Linked DNA regions of Neurospora crassa OR74A. The protein of the gene in region 3 purifies or fractionates together with the protein of the main gene of each other region. This does not show direct contact. Links are inferred from orthologs where the notes say so. Each region holds a gene or a part of one and is shown on either strand. Other genes may lie near its edges. The genes, in order: NCU07913, rpt-5, rpn-9, rpn-2, NCU02967, rad23 and rpn-3.

The links.
Region 1: the proteins of rpn-9 (region 3) and NCU07913 purify together in Saccharomyces cerevisiae (affinity purification with mass spectrometry; 5 studies listed by BioGRID, with this or other methods). This does not show direct contact. The link is inferred for Neurospora crassa OR74A from reciprocal best matches to the Saccharomyces cerevisiae genes RPN9 and SEM1.
Region 2: the proteins of rpn-9 (region 3) and rpt-5 purify together in Saccharomyces cerevisiae (affinity purification with mass spectrometry; 7 studies listed by BioGRID, with this or other methods). This does not show direct contact. The link is inferred for Neurospora crassa OR74A from reciprocal best matches to the Saccharomyces cerevisiae genes RPN9 and RPT5.
Region 4: the proteins of rpn-9 (region 3) and rpn-2 purify together in Saccharomyces cerevisiae (affinity purification with mass spectrometry; 5 studies listed by BioGRID). This does not show direct contact. The link is inferred for Neurospora crassa OR74A from reciprocal best matches to the Saccharomyces cerevisiae genes RPN9 and RPN2.
Region 5: the proteins of rpn-9 (region 3) and NCU02967 purify together in Saccharomyces cerevisiae (affinity purification with mass spectrometry; 5 studies listed by BioGRID, with this or other methods). This does not show direct contact. The link is inferred for Neurospora crassa OR74A from reciprocal best matches to the Saccharomyces cerevisiae genes RPN9 and NAS6.
Region 6: the proteins of rpn-9 (region 3) and rad23 purify together in Saccharomyces cerevisiae (affinity purification with mass spectrometry; 5 studies listed by BioGRID, with this or other methods). This does not show direct contact. The link is inferred for Neurospora crassa OR74A from reciprocal best matches to the Saccharomyces cerevisiae genes RPN9 and RAD23.
Region 7: the proteins of rpn-9 (region 3) and rpn-3 purify together in Saccharomyces cerevisiae (affinity purification with mass spectrometry, with the first as the bait; 3 studies listed by BioGRID). This does not show direct contact. The link is inferred for Neurospora crassa OR74A from reciprocal best matches to the Saccharomyces cerevisiae genes RPN9 and RPN3.

What each region holds. Positions count from the first base shown.
Region 1 is NC_026504.1:1,371,871-1,375,434, forward strand, and holds NCU07913 (hypothetical protein), read right to left. Parts: upstream 2,137-3,564; 5' UTR 1,778-2,136; coding exon 1,654-1,777; intron 1,418-1,653; coding exon 1,306-1,417; intron 985-1,305; coding exon 945-984; 3' UTR 501-944; downstream 1-500. Other genes in the region: pgk (phosphoglycerate kinase), read left to right, coding at 1-404; NCU07912 (hypothetical protein), read right to left, coding at 3,319-3,564. UniProt on the Saccharomyces cerevisiae protein: Versatile protein that might stabilize multiple protein complexes involved in diverse pathways. Subunit of the 26S proteasome which plays a role in ubiquitin-dependent proteolysis.
Region 2 is NC_026504.1:3,450,359-3,454,292, forward strand, and holds rpt-5 (regulatory particle, ATPase-like-5 protein), read right to left. Parts: upstream 2,801-3,934; 5' UTR 2,498-2,800; coding exon 2,187-2,497; intron 2,108-2,186; coding exon 1,692-2,107; intron 1,627-1,691; coding exon 992-1,626; intron 933-991; coding exon 912-932; 3' UTR 435-911; downstream 1-434. Other genes in the region: NCU04413 (UPF0132 domain-containing protein), read right to left, coding at 3,229-3,283, 3,335-3,496, 3,570-3,934. UniProt on the Saccharomyces cerevisiae protein: The 26S proteasome is involved in the ATP-dependent degradation of ubiquitinated proteins. The regulatory (or ATPase) complex confers ATP dependency and substrate specificity to the 26S complex.
Region 3 is NC_026507.1:2,715,964-2,719,785, forward strand, and holds rpn-9 (proteasome regulatory particle subunit), read right to left. Parts: upstream 2,355-3,822; 5' UTR 1,980-2,354; coding exon 1,712-1,979; intron 1,628-1,711; coding exon 750-1,627; 3' UTR 501-749; downstream 1-500. Other genes in the region: NCU02375 (ubiquitin carboxyl-terminal hydrolase 2), read left to right, coding at 1-88, 176-277; nuo40 (NADH-ubiquinone oxidoreductase 40 kDa subunit), read left to right, coding at 2,700-2,836, 2,903-2,979, 3,051-3,145, 3,238-3,329, 3,393-3,534, 3,600-3,758, 3,822-3,822. UniProt on the Saccharomyces cerevisiae protein: Acts as a regulatory subunit of the 26S proteasome which is involved in the ATP-dependent degradation of ubiquitinated proteins.
Region 4 is NC_026507.1:232,440-236,613, reverse strand, and holds the start of rpn-2 (26S proteasome regulatory subunit rpn2), read right to left. Parts: upstream 2,801-4,174; 5' UTR 2,502-2,800; coding exon 2,362-2,501; intron 2,258-2,361; coding exon 1-2,257. UniProt on the Saccharomyces cerevisiae protein: Acts as a regulatory subunit of the 26S proteasome which is involved in the ATP-dependent degradation of ubiquitinated proteins.
Region 5 is NC_026501.1:8,551,798-8,555,151, reverse strand, and holds NCU02967 (ankyrin repeat domain-containing protein), read left to right. Parts: upstream 1-1,473; 5' UTR 1,474-1,618; coding exon 1,619-1,667; intron 1,668-1,767; coding exon 1,768-1,793; intron 1,794-1,853; coding exon 1,854-1,982; intron 1,983-2,060; coding exon 2,061-2,570; 3' UTR 2,571-2,854; downstream 2,855-3,354. Other genes in the region: NCU02966 (pre-mRNA splicing factor prp46), read right to left, coding at 1-1,106; NCU02968 (hypothetical protein), read right to left, coding at 2,887-3,354. UniProt on the Saccharomyces cerevisiae protein: Acts as a chaperone during the assembly of the 26S proteasome, specifically of the 19S regulatory complex (RC) and appears to have an overlapping role with RPN14.
Region 6 is NC_026503.1:4,431,844-4,435,977, forward strand, and holds rad23 (rad23-like protein), read right to left. Parts: upstream 2,801-4,134; 5' UTR 2,378-2,800; coding exon 2,360-2,377; intron 2,130-2,359; coding exon 2,082-2,129; intron 1,901-2,081; coding exon 1,828-1,900; intron 1,765-1,827; coding exon 1,685-1,764; intron 1,623-1,684; coding exon 1,278-1,622; intron 1,218-1,277; coding exon 630-1,217; 3' UTR 130-629; downstream 1-129. UniProt on the Saccharomyces cerevisiae protein: Plays a central role both in proteasomal degradation of misfolded proteins and DNA repair.
Region 7 is NC_026507.1:3,274,541-3,278,566, forward strand, and holds rpn-3 (26S proteasome non-ATPase regulatory subunit 3), read right to left. Parts: upstream 2,801-4,026; 5' UTR 2,134-2,800; coding exon 1,941-2,133; intron 1,870-1,940; coding exon 548-1,869; intron 465-547; coding exon 321-464; 3' UTR 27-320; downstream 1-26. Other genes in the region: NCU02223 (hypothetical protein), read right to left, coding at 3,487-3,744, 3,872-4,026. UniProt on the Saccharomyces cerevisiae protein: Acts as a regulatory subunit of the 26S proteasome which is involved in the ATP-dependent degradation of ubiquitinated proteins.

The DNA.
Region 1 (3,564 bases), on a different chromosome or scaffold from region 3:
ACTTCACCATTGCCGACAAGTTCGACAAGGACGCCAACACTGGCTACGCCACAGACAAGGACGGCATTCCCGACGGCTGGATGGGTCTCGACTGCGGCGAGGAGTCGGTCAAGCTCTTCACCCAGGCCATCAACGAGTCCCAGACCATCCTCTGGAACGGCCCCGCCGGTGTCTTCGAGTTCGACAAGTTCGCCAAGGGCACCAAGGCCACCCTCGACGCTTGCGTCAAGGCTGCCGAGGAAGGCCGCACCGTCATCATTGGCGGTGGTGACACCGCTACCGTCGCTGCCAAGTACGGCGTTGAGGACAAGCTCAGCCACGTCTCCACTGGCGGTGGTGCTTCTCTTGAGCTCCTTGAGGGCAAGGCTCTCCCTGGTGTTGTTGCTCTTAGCGAGCGTCAGTAAGTTTGTCCTTGGCTTTCAAAGGAGTTGGGAAGGAGATATAATGATGTTATGAAACCTCTCGGATATTGAATGAGAGATCATGACTGATGGATCAAAAAAACATATGATGATAAAGGGTCCTTGGAAGGATTAGCAGGGCCAGTCTATGATAGGCACTCAGTCCAAAGTCGATAAATAGAACAAAACAGTTAAAGTCCAGTTTTTATGATTCGAAGTGTGATGTGCGGATAAGCTTGACGAATCTGGTTCATCCCAAGATATTATTCGAGTTTATGCACCAAGTTCGAGACGAAGTCTATGCAGATCATCTCAATCCCGTGTTGATACCCAATGACTTGTGTCAATGACTACACAAGTCGGTACGTCTCCGGATATTGTCTCTTTATAGTCGGAGGGTCTCCTTCACCTTTCACTCGCATATCGAAGCCTCGCACAGCAATGTCACCGCAAGATCCCGGACTGAAACTTTGGTCAACATTGTATTGATGCGCCTGTCCTCCCCTCATATCATACTTTGTACAAGCTTCGAAAGTCCTCCGATTACCGCTTCTTGGCAGCCTCAACCTTCTTGAGCTCCTCCCTAATGGTTTGAAAAAGACAAGTCAGCAACTGTCGCTTTATACGGCTTTGCTTTTTGTTTCCTCCATAAAGTTCCAAAATGGTGTGATTCATTTTAACGCCTGACTGACTGGCCCAGCGCAATACGCGCCAACCCGGGTCTAGGATTTTCAATCCCAACTCCTAGCGCAAAGCTAGCTAATTACGTGAAGTGGAAGTTCATAGTAAAGGAGTAGGAGGAGGAGGGAGAGGGAAAGGGAGGGAGGGACGCAGGTAAAAAGGGAAGGAAGAAGGAAGGAAGGAGTACGAAAAGAAAAGGAAAAAAAAAACAAAAAAAACGTACTTTAGCTGGGCGGAAAAGTCGTCGCTCGTGTCGTCGTCGTCCCAGGACTCCTCCCATAGGTGCTTGGCCTCGTTGTTGCCCTTGGCGGCTTCTGTGTCTTCGGCTTCCCAGTCTATTTTGGTTATTTTGTTAGTTACATGTGCGGTACAACAGCTGGGGGAGCTAGCCTCCGCAGTTGCGCAAGTTGAAGGAAGTTTGGTATGTAGTGTCCGTGCCAATGATGAAGGGTATAGGCAGAGAGGTTGTTGAATGATATGATATATGGAAGCAGGTCGTGATGCGGTGGTGTTTGAAATGCGATGCGGCGTCCAGCAAAAGGTGCTTCTTAGCCATGGCGGGCAGACTAACCATCGACGGGGAAGTCCTCAAACTCGTCGTCCTCCTCCAACACGGCCGTCTTCTTCTCGGTAACGGGCTGCTCGGGCTTGGGCTCGGTCGACTTGGCGTCGTTCTTGGGTTGTGTTGAGGCCATTGTGAATGTTGTGATTTGTGTGTGTAGGTATAGAGGGATGGGACCAGCTGGACTGAAGCTGATGACGCTAGACGGATGGATTGTATCGACGAATTGTTCGAAAGGCGGGCAAACTCGTCGGGCGTACTTTTAATCACGTCGTGGTGATGATGATTGCGCTTGGTTTTGTTGTTTGGTATTATGCGCACGGAGGAGAATCGAAATCGTCGGTTTGGCGGCGGCAAGATGTTGGGCGCTGCGGTGGTTGATAGCTCTAGGTAGTAGCTTTTGGTCCGTCAGTCGTGACAGCTCGTGATCTTGTCGTTTGTTCCGTCAACTGCAGCTGCCGAGTGACGGGCCCCCAACCCAAGGCGGCAGCGAGACGACGTGCCAATTCGGCTTCCTCCGCCCACTGCACTTGGCCTGGCCGAGCCAGGGGCGGCAAGAAAGAGCACGGGCCATGTCGCAGATCTTGGCAAAAAGCTCTGGGACCCACTTTGGTATGTCCCCCGCCGCTGAGCTGTGATTGTGCTCTTGGTGTGTCTTTCTGTTTGGCATCGTCATTGATGTCTGGTCTGTACATATTGGAAGATCAACGCTGCACTGTTCAGGCATTGCAGTTCGTCCGAACCATCACTGACAGTTGCAGATGGCTTCCCATTTCTTGCATACTACAGTATACTGCCTGCAGTTAAGATTTCTAGTTCAACACGTAGAGCGCGAATCAGCCCACCAGGAAATCTTGGGTATAGAGGCAAACAACTAACAAGAAGAACTTCCTGCTGGTTCAGTTGCAAACACTTTGTCCCGGTAGCTCTATGGTGCGGCATCAAACCAATCTTCCGAGACCTTTGTTCTTTTCTCTTTTCCCCTCTTGTTGCAAACTGAACCTCATACATATCTGCTCAACTGAGCCATTGCGGTGAACCAGTTCGGGACTCCAATGTCACCTCTAGCAAGTGGTTACACGACATGGGATGCCGATATCTGCAGTGCTTATATCGAATCTGACCTAGAAGTCCCATTGAGACTCGATTGGCCTTTGCCCTGGCCATTCGCGAGTTGAGAGAAATGGATGATAGGTACCCCGGAGACTATATGGAGATCTGGGGGGAATCGGCCATTCCGTCATGGCTGGAACCCGGCTTTAGAACCCAGACCATATTCTTGGATGATGCAAGACCCAGAGGGCTACGATTGAGATGTAGATTGTACCGTACGGTGTGCAGAAGAGCGCGGCTTAGACGTGCCGGCTGCATTGGATATTATCTCCAGTATACCTTGGGATGGATACTGACACAACACAGTATCAAATGAAGGACTTATGACAGTTTATGCCACAGTTTGCCCAAGTTCCAGGGCAGCAACCTTGGAATGGAACAAGGTGTGAAAACCGCGGACGGCATCGGGGACCCTTTTTCGATTGTCTCTCTTGGAAAAGGCACTGTCTCTTGGACGCCTCGTCGCCTCTTTCCCCTCGTTCCTTTTTTTCCTTTTCCTCTTTTTTCTTTTCTCTGGGGCAATGCTACTACACTAGTTCCTTCACGTACTTGGGCGAATACTTAAAAGACCAGCCCCGCTGCTGACCACGAAGCCCTTTCAGAAACAAGCCGCAGCTCAGCCCAAGAACGAAAACCTGACAACAAACCTACGGTACATACGAACCTAATCCGATCATACTCGCATTTCTCCTTCTCATTGAAAAAGCTCCACCCGTTCGTCGAGTCAAGAGAATCAATGATCGGGACTTGCTTGATATCGGCAGGCATACCGTACCTCGAGACATCGACGACCTCCCTCCATTGGAG
Region 2 (3,934 bases), on a different chromosome or scaffold from region 3:
CACAGAACCCCCCTGGCGTCCTATAGTGATATTCTGTTTTGGTCGTTCCAATATTTGATATGCTACGTATTGGCGGTAGCGAAGAGGAAGAGTGGTTGTGTTGTTCTAACGGAGTACTTCGGGTTTGTCGGATACCAACTATGAGGGATGGTGCTCTAACGCGGATGCCAGAATCATGCGGAATTCTGAAAAATATGGTGAAAATTCGAAGTCAGTGTTTGAACCATGAGAGATCTTTCTGGCAGACGACCGACACCTGGATCTTCATTCAAGCTGCAGGTCTTGATCGGTTTAGTTTTGAGGACCAAGCTTTGGATCATCAGGAGCGAGTTGCAATCGGTTGTACTTTGTACAGTTCACATCTTGAGCCACGAAAAAAAGGTAAGTAAATCCACACTATGGAAGACCCGCTCGAAAATCAATAAATGAGTCGTCGTAGAAGCAGCAAACCACTGGTGTAGCAACTCAAGGACGAAATGCAAGATGATATTGAAGAATGATCAAAATCAAACAACAGGTGGTCACATTGTCAACGGACCACATACGGAAACCCGTGAAATCTGTTTGATGCTATACTTAACATTTCAGTTTTACCAGGACAATATCGGGGCAGCGAAACCGGCGGACTGGAAACCGTTTCACCCTCTAGAATGAGAGTATCGGGTAGGCAACGTAACAGTAAGTTAACAAGAAGGCCAGCAAACATTGTTCATCAGAGTCATCAAGCCTCTGGGTTATCGAGAATTTGGATGGCATGGCAAGTCATCGGGGTAAAACGCTTCATTATGATACAAGACATGCCCAACCCAACGCTAGCTCTATTGCATGCCAAATTTCTATGAACCGTCCATGACCTTGCTGTTTGCCGTAGTTCGGTCGTCGCTTTCAGTACGGTAGGAAATGCAATAACATTAAGCGTAGAAGTTGACGGTCTGAACGCGTGGTCAGTAAGCAGCACACAAGCATTGGTTGTCTTGGGGAAAATACTCACTTCCTTCTTCTTGGCCTGCACCTCAGAAATAGCGTCAACGTAGTGTTCGTGTCCAATCTGATTCTTGCCCATACGGAGGGCAATCATGCCAGCCTCGACACACACAGCCTTCAGCATGGCACCGCCAAACTCATCCGTGCTGCGCGCCAACTCGCCCCAGTTAACGCCGGGGTTGACCTTCATCTTCCTGGAATGAATCTTGAGAATCTGTGCGCGTGCCTCCTCGTTCGGAAGAGGGAACTCGATCTTGCGGTCAAGACGACCGGAACGAAGCAAAGCGGGGTCGAGGACGTCGATACGGTTCGTCGCGGCGAGAACCTTGATACGGTCGTCAGAAGCGAAACCGTCGAGCTGGTTGAGGAGCTCCAACATGGTTCGCTGGACTTCACGATCGCCGGACTTCTCGCTGTCGAAACGCTTGGTACCGACGGCATCCAACTCGTCGATGAAGATAATTGACGGGGCCTTCTCTTTTGCTAGGGCGAAGCAGTCCCTTACGAGCTTGGCACCGTCTCCGATAAACATCTGCACTAGCTGGGGGCCAGCAAGCTTGAGGAATGTGGCATCTGTCTGAGCGGCGCAAGCTCTGGCAAGTAAAGTCTTGCCTGTTCCGGGAGGTCCGTACATCAAAGCTCCTATTCCTGAAGTTAGCAGCAATACCACAGCAGCGAGTTTCTGCTCCATCTTGGTGAAGACATACCCTTGGGCGCCTTGATACCGATCTTCTTAAACCGTTCGGCTTCCTTCATAGGCCACACAATAGCCTCGACAAGTTCGTCAATCTGTTTGTCGAGACCACCGACATCTGTGTACTTCTCCTGAGGCTTCTCGTCGACCTCCATAGCCTTGACTCTGCTGTCGTACTCGGCGGGCAACGTATCCAGAATAAGGTACGAATCCTTGTTAACACCGATGAGATCGCCGGGCTTCAACTTCTCGGGGTCGACCAAGCCGATGAGAGGGAGAAAGATGGTCTGTCTGGTCGATGTCTTGATGACTGCCGATTTACCCACGCGCGTGGCATCCAAGTCGATGTTGGCGCCCTCTTCGGAGGACTCGGCGGTCGGGTCAAGGTCCAAAAGTTCAACGACATTTCCTACGAGATACGGAAGTTGTCTGATGAGGCCAGCGTTAGTAGGGGAGGTTTCGCGGCTACTGAAGGCAAACCTTAGGGGAGTGTAGGGGGAATGTTTACCGGTTGTTGGCAATCTTTTCTTGGTTCTCCTTGATCTTGTCCTTCATGGTAGCCCTCTCATGTGATAACCGCTGGTATTCGCTCTTCATGATTCTGGCATCGTTCTCGAGGAGGCGCTTCCGCATCAGGATGTCCTCTGTGCTCAAACTCAGGATCTCCTCATCTAGGATGTCATCGGCCTCGGGCTCGGCATCCTTCATCTCGGCATCGCCATCTCCCTCTTTCTTGTTGTTCTTATCCTTGTCCTGATCCTTCTTCTTGTCCTCGCGCTCACGGCGATCGAGGTCGTCGAGTTCCTCAAGGGTCGACATGGCTGACGCAGACGGGTGCGAATGTGGGGTATCGGTAGGGAAAGTCGCAAGGGCGCAGAGATCGGGTTACTGATCCTCTGTATGTAATCTCCACGGAATTTGAAACGACGACGTGGAGTAGTAGTGGTGGTTAGTGATGAAAATCGCCGTTGTTTGCGTTGTGGTTGGGAGACCGGCGGTCGTGCTTGTAGTGCAGTGCTGCGTGGATGGTGGCAGTTGCGTGGTCGACATGCGGCACAGAGCTTCGAGTGCTGTCGGTGGTTGACCAGGAGCTGGGCTGCAGGCAAAAGCGCGACGTAACAAGGCCGGGTACCTAACGCCCCACAGTATGTACATAGTACTTCAGCTCTAGACCCCACTCTGACCCCAGAGTGAACCAGCCACAGCTGACTAACCACGCGGCATCGGCCATCCAGGTTCACGGTTTCAATTCAGTCGAGTTTCACTGCACGATCATTCATCTGCTGTGCTTCACTCAATTTCGATGTTCATGAAGTCTTAAACGGAGTTGACCAAAACCCTTGAGCTAGTCCCTTACGGGGAAGCGGCTCGATAACACAGGAATTGATTCGATACATCCCTCATCGGACTAAAAATATACCAGCGCATTACATTAGAGTACGAGAAGGCCGTATTCACACCTCTCGTCAAGTGTCAAGTATCAACTCTCCCAGGACAACCACGATGCCGGACTGATCCTGATGCGTTTGAGCCCCAATAACCACAGTCGTCTACTCGTCGTCCAAGATCCCGCTTGCTATCGGCCCAAAAATCGGTACTTCGTATCTGGAAACCAAGTCAGCTTTTGTCCACTCGTTTGGATCCCGGAAGACATACCTGTCTAACGTGTCGGCGTCCCTATAAGCATTAATAACCAGCCATCCTACCAACGCCAAATCCGCCAGAAATAACAGCCAGCTAAGGAAACTCGACCAAGAAATCAACAAATGAAGCACAAACAATGCCGTAAACAGCAGACTGGACTGCCATGCGTGGAACCTAATCCCCAGTTCCACATGTCAGCAACGCTAACTCCTCGACCATACCGAGAGATGGGTCTTGTTTCACTCACCTGACATAATCACTCTTCCGCTCCAAAATCAACAGCAAAATCGCTCCCAGCGGCGGCACTGCCAAATACGCCAAACACGCCTCATAATCCAGCCTCAGTCCCAAGCTCGTATCAAACTCGGACACCATCCCCTCTCGAGCGCCCAGCGCATTGAAATATTCGCCCATGCTTCCTCCTACTCCTCCTCCTCCTCCTCCACCACCACTGCCGTTCCTACTGTTGAACCCAATGCCACTGCCGATCCCATTGGCGGTGCCAGGAGTAGCACTCGGACTTTGATACCTGCTGATGCCCTCACCCGACCAAGCACGATGTGGTTGTGGGTGTAGAAGTGGCGGAGGCGATACTTGCGCTGGGCGCTGTTG
Region 3 (3,822 bases):
CTGCACTTACGATCTTCTATGCGTTGTTGTGCACGTTGGCGACATGGATACCGGACACTACATTTCTTATTGCCGGGTTGGCGACCAGGTGAGTCTGACTAGTGAACCATGACACACATCTAGTTCCTGAAGGGTTAGACTTGCTGACCCGCTGCCTTTGGCACATTTATTTAAGTGGTTCGCATTTAACGATCACAAAGTTGAACTGGCCCAGAAGTCTGATGTGCTAAACGCAAAGGCCTATCTTCTCTTTTACATTGTTCGGTCCCTGTCTTGAGCTCGGATAAACGGTGTACGAGTAGGGGCAAGTAAGCAGCAAATATTTTTTTCCTGTGTATGATGTTGTTTCCAGTAAACACGTGCCAGATGGCTCATTTACGTTTTGTACACTACTTGATCTTTTTGCGGCGTTCAAGGAAGCATATTTTGCCGGCGTATTTTGGATTTGCCTTTGTTCATGGAGCGTACATGGAGAGGATTCACATAGACATAACTCAGGCCAAAGCATGGGCCTGGATTTTTAGAGAATGGAGGACGTACGCCGTGGGCGTTGTCATGCGTTATGGGTATTCATATGTATCATGCAAAGTCGGTCTGCCTCATGCAGCGGAATAACATCATGCCTTTAGCTGGCCTTGTTCCCTGATCTAAGCATTAGGTTTACTCCTGTATCTCCAGGTTTGATGCCATCCGTTTGAACGCCCGAATTGTTCCCATCTCCTCACACCGTCCGTAGATTCGTCCACCCTTTAAGCCCAAACATCCTGGCCCACACCCTCGATCCAGTTACCCAGCTTGTCAACACTGGAATCCCACTCTTGCAGCCGTTGCCTCATGTTCTTGATCTGCTGCATGTCCAACACCTTGGGCTGCACCCAGTTGATGTGGGCCACCTCGTCAACCTGGTCGATCGTGCCCCGCAGTAGATCCAAGCTCAGCGCCTTCATGATCAGGTGCTCGATCTCGTCGGGGTGTACCTTGGTCTCGTTCGCAATGGTGGAGAAAGACATGGCGCGGTCATGGGGCGGGCGGCGAAACACGGCCTCGGTCAGCGCCGCCAGATAGATCTTCTCGCGCAGCTGGCGCGTGTGCTGCGCCAGCAGCGGGTCCGAGCTGATGTGGCTGGCCAGTAGGTCGTATGCGGCAAGGTCGCCGCGGTTGAAGGCAAAGAGGAGCTGGTGCAGCCACTTGTGCCGGTCGTCGATGGTGAGGGCGTCGAGGATGGGGTGCAGCAGAAGCTCGCCAAAGTTGTAGATGCTCGAGCTGACGAGGGCCGCGATGGCCAGGTTGTAGGCGCGCTGGCGCTGCTCCTCGAGTGAAAGTGACTTGACGTCGATGCAGGCGAGGTACAGCAGCGCGTTCTTGTAGTAGGAGCCCCAGTCGGACTTGGCTTGGAAGTATTTGGCGTTGGTGTCGTAGAAGGCGGCGTGCACGACCGACTCCACCGAGTCGAAGTTGTCGAGGATTCGCTCGGCCGTGTCCAGGTCCTTGCGCGCGCCGTCAAGGTCGGAGAGGTCGAGCTTCACGCGGGCAACGGCGATCGTGGCGAATACATAGGCGTCTTGAGAGTCTTCGTGGTCGACCTTCTTGACGACGGCTTCCAAAAAGGAGAGGCGCTCTTGGTTGTCTACGGTTTGCGCACCCAGGCGTGGTTAGTGCTAGCTGCCAGATGCATGTTTGGAAGCAGAGGAAATGAAGACCGTCTGCGCACCTCTACATTGTGTGGCGGCCTTGAGAGCAAGATCAACGAGCTTGAGCTGGTTGATCTTGTCGGCGAACTTGAGAATGAAGACCTTGTAGAACTGTAGCCTCTGCGGGGCACTGCCGGGGTGGTTGAAGAACTCAAGCAGCAGGTTGGTGAGCTGATGCCACAGCTTGCGCTCCCATAGTGTCTCGAACTCAAGGACGAGGGGTTGGAGTTCTTCGGGCGCCTGGTCGCGCTGCTCGGCGAGGAAGTCGGAGATGGTGTCGACGTTCATGGCTGTGGTGTTGTGTCTAGGTGTGGGTGTGGGTGTGGGTGTGGGTGTGGGTGTGGGTGTGTGTGTCTGAGTCTTCTATCGATCCTTGCTGTCCAGTCCTTGGGGAGGTAGGCAGATTCTCGAGGATCCGGTCTCTTTGGTGGAAACGTCGGTGAGTCTGCTGCGGATGGAAACCAGCGTACTTATCGTGGGATGTTGCTCGTTGTAGAAAATCCCGGCGGAACAATGCAGTGGTACGTCTACAATGGAGGACGGGATGAAAGTGGAAGTGTTGTTTTGAGGTTGTCTTGGTTGACGTCTTGCAGTGAAGCCTTGACGCGGCATTAGGCGTGCAGCCAGCTACGGTCGGTCATTGTGGATGCTCTCCCAGCACTGTGGAGGCCCCCACAGTCACTGCCAAGTGGAAGCTGGGTGAAGCTAAGGTACGTACTGGAGGCGGGAGCCCAAAAGGTACATGTCTATCTGGCAGAGGTACGTACTGCCGTTGAGTGTAAGTGAGGAAGCTTGGCACACGTGATTCCCGTCAGCAGTTTGGTCGCTGGGTACATTGAAGGGGGGGGGGGGGTGCTGACGGCAGGCGGGCAGCAGGCGGGCAGCGAGAGCCGGCTTCGACGTCCCGGATTCGATATTGAAGACGGCAGCTTGAAGCTCCGGATAGCCTCTGATTCCATCACCAATTGAACGGGATCCGGCCAGCCCTGCCACCCCCCAACTCACAAGATGGCTCCCTTGACGGCCGCGATGCGGTCGACTCCCAGAATTATCGTTTCCAATGCCTTTGGCTTTCAGCGACGAGCTATCTCCGACGTGACCATCACCCGCACCGGCAAGCCCATCATCCGTAACCAGGGTGGCCGGTAATTGTTGCTATATCTCTGCTTGGGTAGAATGGGCGATTGCTAACACGTCGTCTACCTCCACAGCTCCTCCCTCGGTGGACATACGGCGACAGTCTTCGGTGCGACCGGCCAACTCGGCCGCTACATCGTCAACAGACTAGGTACGATCTGGCGACTTTGTGGCGTAGGCCTCTATAGAGATCACCATGGCTTATATCAAGAACATTTGCAGCGAGACAAGGATGCACTGTCGTCATTCCCTTCCGCGACGAGTACAACAAGCGCCATCTGAAAGTTACGGGTGATTTGGGCAAGGTGGTCATGATTGTGAGCTTTTCCCCACAACAAGAGTCATGTCCACACAGTCGAGGCCCACGTACGCGCAAGGATCCAGCTACTAAGCATAACCACCACTCCAGGAGTTCGACTTGCGCAACACCCAATCCATCGAGGAGAGCGTCCGACACTCCGATGTCGTCTACAACCTGATCGGTCGCGACTACCCGACCAAGTGAGTCTGGATTTACTGGGAAAGGTTGTGGTGGAGATGCACGAGTATTGACCTGGGTCCCAGGAACTTCTCGTTCGAGGACGTCCATATCGAGGGTGCTGAGCGCATCGCCGAAGCTGTCGCCAAATACGATGTCGACCGCTTCATCCACGTCTCGTCTTACAATGCAGACCCCAACTCGGAGTGCGAGTTCTTCGCCACCAAGGTACGATTACAAGACAGCCTCTTCCAGCGAGTCGCATCGTTATGGGTTTCTGATTGGATCTGTAGGCGCGCGGTGAGCAAGTAGTCAGGAGCATTTTCCCCGAAACCACCATTGTCCGGCCAGCTCCCATGTTTGGCTTCGAGGACAGGTTGCTTCACAAGCTTGCCAGCGTCAAGAATATCCTGACATCCAATGGGATGCAAGAGAAGTACAACCCTGTCCACGTACGTCTTCCCCCACGATATAACCCTTTGCGCGCGGACGGTAGCATCTGACAGCCGTTTTAGG
Region 4 (4,174 bases), about 2.5 Mb from region 3:
GTCGCTAACCACCTTCTTGAGCGTCTTCCTGATGGCTGCAACCTTGGGGTTCATAACCTCGTTCTGCTGAACCAAAATCATGGACAGGGCAATGAGCGCACCCTGGCGGACAAAGTCGGTAGGGTCCTTCATCATGGGCTCGAGCAGGTCAATCGCTTCGTCCAATCCAGTTCCGGCGCACGCGATACCGAGGGCCATGGCCGAACCGTAGCGCACATGCGGGTTGTAAGACTCGGCGAGCAACTCGACCATGCGAGGTACGCTGCCGGGCTTGCGGAAGAGAATGAAGCCCAAGCTCATAACGGCAACACGGCGGACGTCGTCGTTCACATCGCTGACGGCAAGGTGAAGCAGCTTGCGGATGGCCTTGTTGCTACCGGTACCGCAGTAGGCCATGGCGAGCGTGAGAACACCACCATAGCGGAGGATGGGGTCGGGGTTCGCAAGGAGAAGCTGGATCGTCCTGTCGGCACCCTCCTGCTGTCCAAACATGATGAGAGCAATGCCCAAGGCGATACCGCGCACAATCTTCTCGTGCTGAGTCTCGTGAGCGTACGTGAACATGGCATCGATAGTGGCGGCATGTCCAGTTCCCAGCATGATCAAGCCCATAGCCGCACCAACGGCCTCACCGTTGAGGGCCGAGTCCGAGTAGAGAGCCTCCTTGAGATCCTCAATAATCTTTTGGTCGCCAGTGCCCATGCCGGCAATACCCAGACCCAAAGCGCCACCGTGCTGAATAACCTCCTGATCGGCGTCCTTGAACTGTTGGTGGAGGTAGTCCAGAGCATCAGCGCCGTGGTTGGCGTGAATCAGACCGTAAGCGTAAAGCGCACCGGCCTGACTGTAGACGGAACCCGTGCTGACGCCAGAGGGGCGGGGAAGGTAGGGCTCGAGGAGCTTGCGGGACTGAGTGACGTTGCCACGGTGCAGAACACCGAGCGCGGCAGTGGCCGTGAACTTGGACCAGTTGACGGCCCTTCCTAGCCACTCAAGGTTATCCCTGAAGAACCTGTCGTTTGTTGTGCCAGCATTCATAAAGGCATTGCAGAAGGTGACGGCGCTGTGGAAAATGGAGTTGCGACCGTCCAAGCTGTCGCGCACCTTGTTGAGGATGCTCATGTCGGCGTGGTTGTTGCGGTAGAGGAATTCGAGGTTGAGCTTGATGACCTTGCTACCGTCAAGAATGGTGCGGATGTTCTTGTAGACCTTGGCCACTTCCTCGGGCAGCTCCTCCTCGGAGCTCTCCTGGCCTTCCAGAAGAGGCTCACGCTCCGCAGCCGCGTCGTTGCTTCCCTCGGCAGGCTTGGGCTTGGCTGGCTCGCCAGAAGGCAGAGCCTTGATGACCTTGCCCAAAAACTCCTGGGTGCTGTTGTCGTATAGATCAAAGGCGATCTGGTAGGCAATGGCGATGGAGTCCTGTTCGCCCTTGGCAACCAGCTGGCGGAGCATCCGGGACGCCTCCTCGTCCGAATCAAGATAGACCACGCACTTAGCGATGGCAAAGTAATCCGGGTTGGGGATGTCGTTTAGGAGATCGAGGATCAGGCGCAGAATCTCGGTGCGGAAGCCGCGTTCCTGGACAATATCCATGCAGATGCTCAGGGCATAGTCCATGAGCTCCTCCGCCGGCCCCTGGCTGCCTTCCTGTACCTTGGCCTTGCCGGACTTGACATCTTGGTTGGCGCGCTTGATGACGCGACGCAAAACATCCAGGTTCTTGGCCTCGACAGCAATGCCCACCACCTGTCTATATTTGCCCTCCTTCAGGCAGCTCTCGAACAGGCGCTCAATGACGTTCTGGAGCGCAACCTGGGTGGCGGTGTCGTGAACCTGGGCTATCGAGGCGGAGCGAGTCTCCTTGGTGGGCTGGAAGGTGGGATCCAGGATGGTGTTGTCGTCGGACGATGCGCGCGCAAGCAGGGACTTGGAGGGAACCGAAGACTGCGAGAAGGGCGTGGTGGGGGAGATCAGAGCCGAGCTATCGATGGCACCGCTGCCGAGATCGGTCTCAAGTGCAGGCAGGTCCTTCTTGGAAGGCGTGTGGTGGAGAGACGAGACGGCGATGTACTGGTCGATGCACTTGGAGATGATGGTCTCCTCGAACTCACTGGGGGCGTCGAGCTTGAAGAGGGGGCCGGCAGCCAGGGCAAAGGTCATGCTCTCGTTGTAGGCTTGGAGGTGGAAGTAGACCTTGGCGAGCACAAGGGCAGCGAGTTGACGCTCGGGGAAGGTCTCGTCTTCATAGAGGGCCTCACTGGGGGGGGAGAGAGATAGACAGATCAGCTCGCGTGCCCAGCTGAGTGAGCTTACTAACACTAAACAGCGTAGCTTGGTGTCGGGTATCAGGGAGCTACTCACATCTGGGTCAAGGCGCCAGCGACCTCGGTCCAAACGGTGTCGATATCATCGTTGAGGGTCTTGAGGGCGAAGACCTTGAGCTCGGGCTCCTCATCGGCGAGGAAGGCCAACACGCCGGTCGCGGTGACGAGGCCGGGCATCTTGGTGATGTTGATTAGAAAAAGAAGTGGGATGGCGGCGAGCTTCGCGGTGGCGGTTTCTGGTTGTTGTTTAGATTTGGGTGTTTATTAATGCCCGGGTATTGTACAAAACAGCCAGCGTCCTCGTGCGCCGCGTGGTGGTTGTGTAATGGGATGGGATATGGACGAGGCGATTCGGGTTGTTTGTTTGGTGAGGAGAGCGAGTGGAATCGAGATACGTTCAGTTGTTTGTTGCCGTCAAGGTCGGTGCAGTGATGGCTTCAGTGGACAGCAGTGCCCTGGGCAGCGATGGAGCTGGCGGGCGCTGGAATGAGAGGTTCTGGTTGGCTGGTTGGCTGGTTGGGGCCTGCCGACGGCATGTTTGCAGTGACGAACTGACGGCCGAGGGGAGCATCCACGTCAGGGAGCTCCTGCCTTGAGTGGGTCCATTGCTGGGCTGGATGTACCCAGATACCTTGACTGTTGACCAATGAAAGATTGAACGGAAGGCGAGATTTTCCATTCATTCGTTTGGACCCAACAGCTTCAAGAGCGGGCGCACGAGCCATGACAGGCAGCTCAACGAGGCAGGTGAGGCAGGCGGCTCACACAGGCTGAAGCTTCATTGCTTCTCTCCAGTCCCAACTCAAAGACTGTCCGTCCAAACTCTCAAGACAGTTCCAGTCAGGACTCCTGGATGATAATTTCAACATGACTCCAAAAAGATAAAGATCTCCTGGCTATGGTAAGTCGGGTACCGCTATGTAGCGCTCCCAGCACAAATGTAGGAGGAAACTACCTTACATAGGTAGCAATCTACTTGATTCATTTCCAGGAATACACACTGTCATCTATGTCATTGACTTGGATGGACTCAAGGTACAAAGGTACCTACATACCTACATAGTATTCTACACTACCTAGATACACTACTTGAACATGTGCCAGTGGAATCCACAAGTCTGAATATCTCTGTCTGTTCCTGGACTACTCGCCCTGGCTTCAACCTGTTTTCAGACATCATCATGGACAGCCAAGTCTTTTCTGTGCTCTTTCTCCCTTTGTGATCCATATCAATTTCAACCTGATGGTCTTGAACCAACACGACAGTAGTGGATATATAGCTTCCACCACTAACACTTTCCCACCTTTTCTGTGTGACATGAAGATAGCAACGAAATCAGTGCTACACTACACTACACTACACTACACTACTTATATCTTGACTGACTGACATGGTACTAGCGTTTGCGCGGGACAATGTCATGATGATACTCTAGCCTCTATTTTTTTTTCCCCTTCCTTTTGTCCTTTTTTTTTCTTCTCCTGGTGCAACACTGCACGGTCATAAGCTCCAGTTGCCCGTGAACGGCCGTCTGTCCTCTCGTCATTTCTCACCACCAGTCGAGAGTTACCTATCACAATATTCAGCATCCCCACACATTCGCGACATGGGATAGGGAGCTATACTGTAGCTACCTTGTTGTTTATTCTACAACTGAATACACTCAATATCTACCATAGGTCGTCTCTGTCACTCAGCTCCGACACCAGCATCAGCTCCCGCGACCATTACATTTCTCCAAACTGCGCCTTCGAATTATTCGACAAAGAAGGAACGAACTCTCTTCATACTGCGAACTCGATTCCTTGTCCAAATACCCGCGACACCAAGTTCCTTGTGCTGGCGACGG
Region 5 (3,354 bases), on a different chromosome or scaffold from region 3:
AACGCTCGCACACCCTTCTTGTGATGTGTCAAGACGCCCATCGTCTTGCCGGCTGCCAGATCCCACATGCGAACGGTCGAGTCCAAGCTGGCTGTGATGACCTGAGGGTCGGCCTCCTGACAGACAAGATCCGCTACTGTGCCTGTGTGTCCAGAGAGGACGTGAATGTTGCTTCTTGTCCGCATATCCCACACACGCGCGACACCGTCGCGACCGCCTGTTACCAAAACATCCAGTGTAGGATGCAGCGCAAGGGTATAAACACCGCTGAGATGGCCGTGGTAATGTCGGATAACCTTGTTCGTCTCCAAATCCCAGCACTTGACCATCTTATCCTCACCGCACGAGAACAGGTATGGGTGTCTCGGTGACACGGCCAATCCGCGAACCGTCGAGATGTGTCCGGTAAGAGTCAACTTCAGCGCTCCTGACGCCAAATCCCAAATCTTGATAGTGCGGTCGCCTGCGCCCGAGGCAAACCACTTGTTGTCCGGTTCTACTGCCAAGGCACGCACCCACCCCAGATGGCCCGAAAGCACCTTGAGAAGCTTCCAAGGTGGGTGCCAATCTGGCCTGGGCTGTACCAGCACGTCGGATCGCCGCGCCAGGCTGTTTGTTTGGGGCTCGTTTCGTTGCGCATTTGGTCTGGTTGACGACGCGCCAGCGCCGCCGGGCTTGCTGCGCGACAGGACCAGAGCATTCGAGTTGGCGGCGGCGGACTTGCTCGGTGGGATACCCTCGATGAGTTTGCGGGCGTGTTCTTCGGATTTTGAGGGAGCCTCTTCGATGGCTGGCTTGGCCTTCTTTTTGCGTGGTCCGCCGGCTGGCAACTTGGAGGCAATGGCTTCGGGGAGGGTCTGGACGTCGCTGTACTCGGCGTGGAGACGGAGAGATAGGCCGGTCTTGGTGATGTCGGGATCTTCTGACGCAAGCCCAGGGTCGAGTTTTAGACGCTTTCTCCCGGAAGTGCCAGAGGCATCTGTAGTTGTGGCTGTGGCGGCGTAGATGAGTTTCGTTTTTCTAGCGTTCTCGCGGATCATGGTCGAGAGCGGGTTGGTGTCAGGGCCAGAGCCATTGGCGGCGCTGTTGGCAACCTCGGCCGCCATCTTAAGGGTCGGATGTCGGATAGGTAGGGTCGTTTCGTCGTTTGGGTTCTTTGTGCGAATTATTCTTCAATATAGCCGGAGGGGGTTTTGAGTCGGTTGTTGTGATGAAATCCGAATTCGAGCCGTGGTTGTTGACTTGATGTCAAAGTTGAAGTTGAAGACTGGATGCAGTGCGTGATGAAAGTGATACAGTGTGCTGAGCACCGACGAGCGCCACCGGCGCGGCCTGGACGCGGCTGGGAATTTTTGCTGACGTCCTGGCTTGGGGGAGCTTGGGCCACATCTTTTAGCACATTTAGCGTCTTGGCAAACACAGTCGAGCTCACACTGTGTGCCTCTTTCGGACTTCACACACCTCATGGAAGCTCCCGGGGGAAGGCATCACTTACATGACGTTCAACTCATGCAACAGCATCATCACCATATCAAACAAATCCTTGGAACTCAATTCAATCGACTTTCTGATTGACTTTGAGGCCTCTCTTACTGAGTAATCCATCTGCTTGATCAATATGGCAGAAGACAAGTTTGCAATTCACGCTGCCGCTAGGGATGGTAAAGGTGAGCATAGAAAGCTCCAGAACCCTTCAAGCTGAGCAGTTGAGGACACTCGTTAAACCATCCACGAAATGACTGAATACTGACATTTTCACAATCTCAGCGTCCATCGTCGAGTCTCTCCTCAATGTGAGTGAGATGTCGTTTCAAAAATACGTATACTTGCAAAATGACTAAACACACAACCAGGCCAACCCCAAGCTCGCTCAACGCAAGGACGACGATGGCCGTCTCCCCATCCACTGGGCCTGTTCCTACAACCGCAAGGAAGTCGTTGAGCTACTCGTGAACCAAAAGGGTTTTGATCCCGATGTTGAGGTAGGAACTCTCACTTTTTTTTTCTCCTTTCCCTTCCCTCTGTTCACTCAGCACTTACAACTTACACCACACAACCAGGACGACATGGGCTGGACCCCCTTCATGATCTCCGCCTCGGTCAAAGACTCCGACGCCATAATCGACCTCCTCCTTTCCCGCGGCGCCGACATCAACCAAACCAACCACCAATCGCAAACCGCCCTACACTTCATTGCTTCCAAAAACAACATTGACCTCGCGCGTAAGCTTTTGTCTCCAGACATGAAACCCAAGCCTGCCTCGGTCCGGGTCAAGGACAAACGGGGGCAATACCCCTTGCACCGCGCCGCGGCTATTGGGTCCGTGCCGATGATCAATCTTTTGTTGCAGCACAAGTCGCCGATTAATGCCAGCGACAACGCGGGGTATACGCCGCTGCATCATGCGGTGGCCGAGGGACATGGGCATGCGGCTGTTGCGTTGTTGAAGGCCGGGGCGGAGACGGACAAGAAAGATATGGATGGATATTTGGCATTGGACTTGGCGCCGGATAAGGATGTGAGGAGGTTTATTGAGAAAGAGGCCGAGAAGGAGGGGATTGAGCTTTAGGTTACCCCGTTTGCAGGTGCAGGTTGGGGGTACGTGTGGCGAAGATGACACGATGAGGAGAACGAGCGTTGACTTAATTTGCTCCGGAAAAAAGGGCGATGAATACGAGATAGTGATGCTATGGGCTAAACCAAGGTTTATGGACATCAATATCCAAAATATTAGTGAAAGCCATCCTTAGTCACATGTCCATTAGAGTCCCCTTCCCTTCATACCCACACGACAACTCATTTTCATTACCAGCCATCTTGAATAGTTTATTATGTATGCAAGAATCACTACCCAGTCCGTCCCCTCTCACTCACCACTCACGACCTCATTTCATAGTCCTCTCCACCAAATCCCTATACATGTCCTTCAAATCCTGCACATCCGCCTTCAACTCATCCACCTCCTCGCTCTTCTCGCCCAACAGCTCCAGCGTCGTCTCATATCGCTCATTCACCTCCGCCACCTGCCTCTCCAGCTCAGCCACCCTCTCAGCCGCCTTCTTCTGATTCTCCACCTCGCCCATGAGCGCCACAATCTCCGCCCGTGCCTCGTCCCGCTGCTTGGAGATGCGTGCCAGCTCTTCGCGCACCGTCACCTTCTCGCTCTCAAGCTGGCGGATCTTGGCACTCATGCGCTCCACGAGCTGGACCGAGGGCCCGGCGGCGATGGTGGATACGGAGACCATGTCCTGCAATACGTTGTGTGGAGAGGAGGACGAGTCGACGCTGTCGAAGCCCGTGTCGGAACGATGGAGCCCAGCGCGTGGGTGCTGGATCTCGGGTGCGCCACCTGC
Region 6 (4,134 bases), on a different chromosome or scaffold from region 3:
AGGTTTTATATACCCATCAACCGGAGGGGCACTTAGTTAGGTATGGAAATAGGGAAGGGAAAAACAAATGGAGACACACAAAAAAAAAGGGTTCTTGATCATACTACTTGTATGCGGACGGTTTCATGGTCTCGGATCTTATCTTCGTTTTCATTGCTGGTTATGGTTCGTGATGGGAATGCTTCGTTCACTCTTCAAGGGACAGGACTATAGAGTACATAAAGAATAGAGTGATTCGTAAGCTGTGAAAACACCACACCTCTGTAGTTATCCTTGATCTAGATCTCCGCGAAGCATTTTTTTCAGTGTCATCACCCCATTCACTCTTGATGCTTCCTTACTAAAACTCGTCGAAACCTGTCGCGCAGTGGATAGATCAGACACACAAAGCCCACCCGTATATTGCATGTGAACGTTGATCAGCAGTGTTGAGCATTTTGAGCTCCCTAAGGTATAATGTCATCATAAAGTCTCCAATGCATCCTAAGCAAGCCCAAACCATCCAGCCGTCGCCCACATTTCAAATGCAAAGGCAGCTGCTAACGAAAATCCACCCTGCCAACGACTTTTAACGCCCAGTTACGAAAAACCCAAAAATATCTCATTCCAGCCTACAGTCTCACCCCTATTTATTGTTGGGGCATGTCGTCATCTTCCTCCGGTCCTTGATCGAAAAGGAAGTTGGCGGCAAGCTCCTCGTCCTTGTCGCAAGCGAAGTAGGCCTGGATGGCCTGGTCCTGGGGAAAGCCCAGGCGGGTGAGACGCTCAATGGCATCGCGTTCCTCTTCTGTGACAGCAATACCGACAGAGCCACCCTCACCACCCTCGCCAAGGAGGTTCAGGAACTGATCCGAGTTCTGGGCGATCATCTGGGCAAGCTGAGGGTTGCCGGCACCGAGCTGTTGCAAGATAGGCTCCAGCATCTGGGGCTGCTCCTGTACAAGCTGACGCATTTGCTGGAATTGCGCGTTGTTGCGGAGGAAGTCGAGGTTACCAAGACCAGCGGCCTCGGCACCAGCACCCTCCGCACCACGAGCACCACGTCCGCCAGCGCTGTTGCCGAGCTGAGCGGCAAGGTCGAAAAGGTTGACTTGATCGTCATCATCACCACCGGCAGCAGCGGGGGAAGCCGCCTGAGCGGCAGCAGCAGGGGCAGCAGCCGGAGCGGCAGAAGGCTGGCGAGAGGCAGTTTGTTGCTGGAGGTTGGCGGGAATACCCTAAAGCTGTGTCAGTAAACCAGACATAGATCGGAAAGTGGAATGAGTTGTGAAACGTACGTTCAAGAGATACTCCACAGCGCGCTCGGGGTTGAAAAAGGCGGCACGCATAGCAGCGTCAATCTGCGAACGCTCGAAACCCATAGCCTCCATGTTGGCAATGGCCTCGGCGCGCTGCTCGCCCATGGCAAGGGCGTTGGCATCGCGAGCACCGGCAGCTGGGGCCGCCTCAGGAGCCGCAGCGGTTCTAGCGGGCGTCGGCGTCGAAGGGGCAGCGGCAGCAGCGCTGGAGGCCGCGGGAGCGGCAGGGGGAGCAGGTGTTGAGGCCGGGGCGGCGGCAGCGGGGGTAGCGGGGGCAGCGGCAGACGACGACGACTCGGCTGGCTTGGGGGCAGTGGTCTTGGGCTGCGCAAAGTGTCAGCTTCATCTTTGTACAAGGACGTGAGTAATAACGGGGGAAATAGTACCTTGTTCACGACGCAGACAACGAAGCCCTTCTCCTCGATCTTGTACGACTCGACGGTCTCCTCATCCTTCAAGATCTTACCTGTTGGGGTAAAGTCAGTATTCGGGAGCGGTATCCATCGTTTGAGAAGCAAGCGATGCTTACCGGAGTAGATAAGCTTCTGCAGCTCGGGAGCCCAGCCCCTCTCCTCGGAGATCTTCTGCTTGACCTTGGAAATCTGCAACCGGTTAGCTTCTAGCTCGCCAGCATCATGCACGTCTCCCGAAGCGACATGGGAGGCTCGCGACGCCGACAGAGCATTCGATTGTCGAGGGCTGTCACGGCGTGTTGGATGTCTCCATGACGTCGGCCTGAGGTAAAGGGTGTAAGGAAATGGGAGGCGACGAAGGGTAACCAACAGTCTCGGTAGGCTCGATCTCGAGCGTAAACTTTTGTTGTTTGAGGTCCTAGATGAACGAACAGTCATTGTTAGTATTTGACTATATAGACTTTGAGAGCTTATGGACAGAGGGAGCGAGCTCTGATCCAACCAGGCAGACAGGATTCAAAGAAGACGCTGGGTTGTTTCCGAATTTGCTGAGAAGCCATCGCGGTACGTCTGGCTCGTTGTCTGCCTGGCTGGCTGGCTGGCTGGCTACGTCAAACACTCGACATGGGCAAGCTTATGGGCACGTACCTTGAAAGTAACCTTCATGATGGGCAATCTGCGACGCAGCTAAACGGCTGCTACGTTGACACTGAGAGTCTGATGATGTAAGTAAAGTCTGTCCGGACGGGCGAGCTTCGTTGGGTTCCGAGTCGCGATGGGAGACAGCAAGATTTGTTGCAGTCGGCGGAGTTGGGCGAGGACGAGGAAAAAAAGTGGAAGTGGTTAGTTGGTTGCTGTGGTAAGGTTGATGTGTGTGGGAAGGCTGCCGCAGAGATGGCGAGGTGGCATACAGGGGAGGAGATAGTTGTAATCGCTGTGGCAAGAAATATGGAAGGTAGCAGGGAAGCTTGAACGTTTTACAGCGGCTTGTGATGACTGATGAGGCAGCTTTGAGGCGGAGAATTTGGGGTTTGTTCGCTTCACCTGAGTGCACTGAATGGAAGAGGGGCACAGCAGGCGGGTAGCCAGGTTCACGGTGTGCTACCTACGGCAGTGAATGGCTGGGGGGAAGCGGCAGGCAAAGTGCAGTGGACAGGCACAAGGCAGCGGCCATTGTTAGGCGGGGGGGGCTGCGCGGCATCTTGCCGCCTGGAGCTGGTGGAGAGGTCACAGTCGTCACGCTGCCATCCCGTCCGTCTGTACACACAACACAGACTGATTGATCCCATGGATCCATTCACTTTCCAGGTTGTGTTGGCCTTGTTGCGTTGAAAAACATGAATTGGTTTTCTTTGTTAGTCTTGCTTTTGAATGTCACTGAACTGATAACCACATGCTTCCGTTGGCGATGGAAGTTGATGCAAAATCAAAGGGGAATGTTTGATGTCATGCTGTGAGCCAATCCAAAGGACCCATCTTCTTTCATCTCTTTTTATTCTATTTGAATTTTTTTTGCGATGAAGAAGATGAAGTCATCGCTGATTATGGCAGTGTCACGGCAATACTAGGTAATAGATCTCCACTCATAAGCGCGTATAAAATGGGGCTGAAGAACACCTTCCATCTGTACCAATCATACGCATTGGTAGGCTCCCTTGGAAAGAGCACCAGATAAGATAAGGCCTCCGTCACGTTCGTGACCCGACGTGGATCGTGACATTGAATTGACTACGAGTAACCTTCCCTTCGGTTATCATCGCAAAAACGACGGAACGGTAGCATTGGGGTTACTTTTCAAGGCAGCAAACATGATTTGAGCCAGACATCGTTTTATTCTGGTTTCTCTCATCACCATTCCCAAGCTTCCAAGCTACCTACATCTCCATCGCAGTCATGGTCGGACGTCTAAGCATCATAGCTTAGATGGAAAATCACAGCTCAATGTCACCGCGCATATTTCGTGGGCACGATCTTTTGTTCTGACTTCTTCGGTTCTCATCCGCTACATCTTTCAGTCGTCCGTCTCGCGCATAGCGCAGAGAAGCATCTATCTGAATCCATCCATCATCTAGCCATCCTTCTATCCAACCATAGCCGAGCTTTTCTATACACAAATCCCACCTATCCAAGACCCATCTTTAGGTATGGAACTCAAGTCCAACGCCTCGCAATCAAAGGTATCATATTCACGTCCTCAAAACAAAATCCTCCTCCCCTCCCCCAAGATATGAAAAATACAAAGGAAAGAAGAAGGAAAGTAGAAGAAGAAGGAGAAGAGGAAAAGGTGGTATCTCTCCCACAACAGCGACCTTTCTTACTCTCTGAGTGGAGATCGAGCCAAAGAGAACGAGGAAGAAAAAAGAAATACAGGGGTAAAGAAGTGAAAGAAAGGTATCATGTCGTAACTTCGTCTCAGGCCATCC
Region 7 (4,026 bases), about 560 kb from region 3:
TGAGGAACAAACGAAAAAAAGCATGCATGAAATGTTGATGGGTGGTTGTGCCCGATACACAGTGGATACGTCTAATGAACAAGTGAGGCAAGATGGTAGGTGATATACGGTTGTAGCGTATTTTCTCTAGCATAAGGCTCTGTCTCTTCTCTCTTCCCGTCTTATTTCTTGGCCGGCGATAGCACGATTCCATACCAGATTACTAGATACAACAGGGATGATGATGATGACTATTCCCAAGACCAAATTATAGGTATTGGGCGGGGTCTATCTAGGTAGTTTAGACTCGTGTGTGGTGTGTGTGTGTGTGTCTAAACATCTTAAATGCCCTCAAAGTCACCACCGAGATCATCCTCATCCAGATCGCCCTCCTGTATCTCCTTGGCCAAATCACGCTCGCGCTCTCGTGCTTCCTGGGCATTCTTCAGCTCGAGACGGTGCTGGTTCATGGGGAAACGCATGGCCTGCAAAGAAAGAATTTGTGAGCAACAAATCTATCATAACTTCTGGAATTTGAAAGGGGGAGAAAGAAAAAAAAGAAACATACCTTGACACTCTCATCATGCAGAGCCAAGCAGGCGCGGATACGGTCATGGAACGCCTCGGCCGGTTCGCTGGTGGCATACACGTCGCCCACCTCCTTACTCTTCATGAAGCCGCGCTCCCTGTCGAGCGTGGCCTCGATGACGCCGTCCCTGATCGCCTTGGCCACAATGTACTCGGCACTCTCCTCGCTGCCGAGGTGCAAGCGGATGCAAATGTCGCGGAGCGAAATGCGGCTGTAGCTCAAACTCATCATGCGGATGCCCGTCTTGATGACGTTTTGGCGCAGACGCAAAATCAAGCTATAGGTGCCGTCGCGGCGGAAGGTGTCGGCATGCTGGGCGATGGTGGTCTCGAAGTCCTCGAGGTTGCCGACGCGCACGGCGCGGACGAGCAGGAAGTACGGGTGGAGAGTGGCCTCCATGGTCAGTTGACGGAAGATGGCGCGGTCGGGGATGTCGCCCATGAGGAGCTCTACGACGAGCAGGAGCTTGGTGGCCGTCTGGCTGAAGCCAAGTGCGCAGGCGCTCGAGGGAGCCTTCCGTGTCGCCGCAGTGAGATGCTCATGGGCCTCGGTGTACCGTAGCTGAATAGCCCGGACACGGCCGAGGTAGTACAGGAAACGCGCGACCTGGTTGTTGGCAGCGTTCTCGGGGAACTGGGTATGCTGCACCAGCAGATCGGCCTGGGAGATATGCGACGTGAGGAGGTAGTTCCGGAGCAGGAGGACAATGACGGAAGCCTGGGTGTCGATATCCTTTCGTAGCACGGCGGTTCGGAGAGCGGCGAGGAGGATCGGGCGGATCGACACAATCGGCGACTGGGGGGAAGGCGGGAGGGGAGCGAGCTGCTCGGCAAAGAGCGAGAAGTAAAAGTACACCTTGGCCGAAAGGCTGTCTAATGTGCGGCGGTTGAGGGACTGGATACGCTCGGATAGGAAACGCGACAGGGCGAATCCGCGCTGGAACTGTTTGGTGTCGTAGAGGTGGACCTGCGCCAGAATGCCTAGGAAGATGTCGATCTCAGGAATCACCTCCTTGGGGTCCTTCTTGCCACCGTTCTTCGCTGGCGACTTGGATCCCGAGTCGATCTCCATGTCTGAGCTGCTGCCGAGAGTCACATTTGGCCGGTCGACAGCGAGCAGCAGGTGCTCGGCAACTTGAGTATTGGGTGAGGACGCGGAGAAGGTTTCTGAGACGACTTGTGCGAGGATGTCGGGCGTCAGGCGTTTCCGGATCGACGAGATGGATCGCAGTGCCCGTAGAGAGAATCTGGGATCGAACAGGGCAACAGCACGGTCTAGCAGCGCAAAGTTGCTCTTGATGTCTGCGCAAGCGAGTGATGGTTAGTTCAGCTCACAAAGATAGATGAAGCTGGGGACTGGGAAGGTACCGTACCGCTGATGGTTTGGGCGACGGGGTCGACCTGGGCCTCAACCTCGCCGGCCTTGGTGTCGTCTTCCATGGCAATGTCGCCATCGGCGTCGTTGGGAGGTTGCGCAGAGTTCTGCTTGTTCTTGGGAGGGGGGACTACGACGGTCATTTCGTCCTCGCCTTGCTTTCCCGACTTCTTGGTATCCTTGTCCGTCATGTCGAGATCCTTTCCACCCCAATAGCTTCCGTGCTCAAGTGGTTCCTTATCTGGAGCGGCTCCGGGTTTGGTTATAGGCTGGCTGGGCTGGAGGTCGTGGTTGCTGTGTTGGTAACGGCCCGATGGTCGATGGGAAACGGGGTGATGATGTGGTGGGGGTTGACGGTTGCGTTGGCGCGGTGGGTGATGTTGGAATGCTGTGGTGCGGTGATGATGACGCCGTTTTGGTGGGCAACCTAATAGAGCAGAGGTATGAGTTCGAGTTGCTTGGGGCGATCTCGCGAAGCGCGCCCTTCTTGCAAGCCTGGAGCAAGCACCTTTAGCAGCAGCAGCTGGCAGAGTCGCAGTGGATCTAGCTCTAGGCGGGGAATGGAGCACTAGAGGTAGAGAGGGAGGTATCTATGGGGGTGACTTCGTCGTCGGCGTTGTTAAGCGAGGGCCAAGGGCAAACTGCTTCGTCGTCGTTGTCGATGGATAACTACCTAGGTAATTCAATCCAAGCTGTGTACTCGGAGTTCGGTGCAGGAAAGGAAAGTTCAAGCTTCACAGACCCGTGTTTTGCTTGATGGGAGTTGTTGAGCTGATGATTGAAAGGAAGTACCTACCGGTCACGGTTGGGCCAGCATACAAGAGCGGACGACCAACTGAAGGGCCGCCCTGTGCAGTGAGTGAGTGCTATGGTGGCCTTCGGACAAGCTCCAGAAGAGCTTCACACATCTAGGCATTGTGATTGGCCAGATTGTCTTGAATGGGTCCACTGCGGCTCGTCACTGACGTTGTTGATGTGCTGCCTGTCGACGACGTCCAGGCAGGCTCGAGGCAGGGTACTTAGGTACTTAGGTACACCTTACATTACAAGTACTACAAGTGTAGGGTAGACAACATCCAAAACATCTTACCACCTCGACCACCAATGTAGACTTTTACAAACTGAGTTGGTCTTGGGAGACATGGCTCCTATTTCAGGATGGTGTTAGCAACCATTGCCTATACAATATATGGTCCTCGCTTTCTGTCTGCATTCCCAAGATGGCATTATCACGGGGTTGAATATGCATATGCCTCCTGAACCCTGCATCATCTGGCATATCACGGCAAATCTGCACTTGCTTGCAACCCATTATATTTGGAGCTTGTTTCGTAACCCATAAAGGATTGATGCTTCAACCTAAGCCATATTATGGGTAGCTCATGCCAGGGATAAGCATACAAGTATCCCGAGATGAATGTATTTCCTCCGTCTCATCCGGTACGCCACCCTTTTCCATTTCCCACCCCCAAAAGAATTACCACATCCATGCAAACAAGCGAGACCCGAAACCTCTTGTTCATTCTGGTCTGAATACCCTTCCATTAAAGATCCCCCTTGCCCGGCATGACCTTGGCGGCCTGCACCGCGCTCATCTTGGTGATCCACTGAGCATTGGGCTGCACCTTGCGAACCGTCCTGAGCTCGTCACTAGAGTAGCCAGGGATACGGATGTTGTAGGTACGCTCCAAAACAAGCTGGATATCGCGGATCTCAAGAACCTTGGATCCTCTCTCCTTTGCATTGCGGGACGCCGCGTGGAGGACACTCTCTGTAAAGCTATCGGCGAGACCAAGGACGGACTGAAAAGGAATGCCACGTTAGCTGGTTGTGTGGTGATGACTTTGTGAGTTTGCTAAAGGGGGTTAAGGAATGACCGCGGACTTCCGCAAAGAAAAACAAAGGATTATCAGGTTGCAAACAACGTACCTCCTCAACCTCAGGTGTCAAGAGATTTCCGTCTTGGCCCTCAGCCGTACCACCGCACACCTGCCGAACCAGCTCGTCCAGCTTCTTCTTGTTCAAAACCCTCTCACCCTCGCCCTCAAGCTGGTAGGCCGGGGTCTTCTGCAAGACGGGCTGAT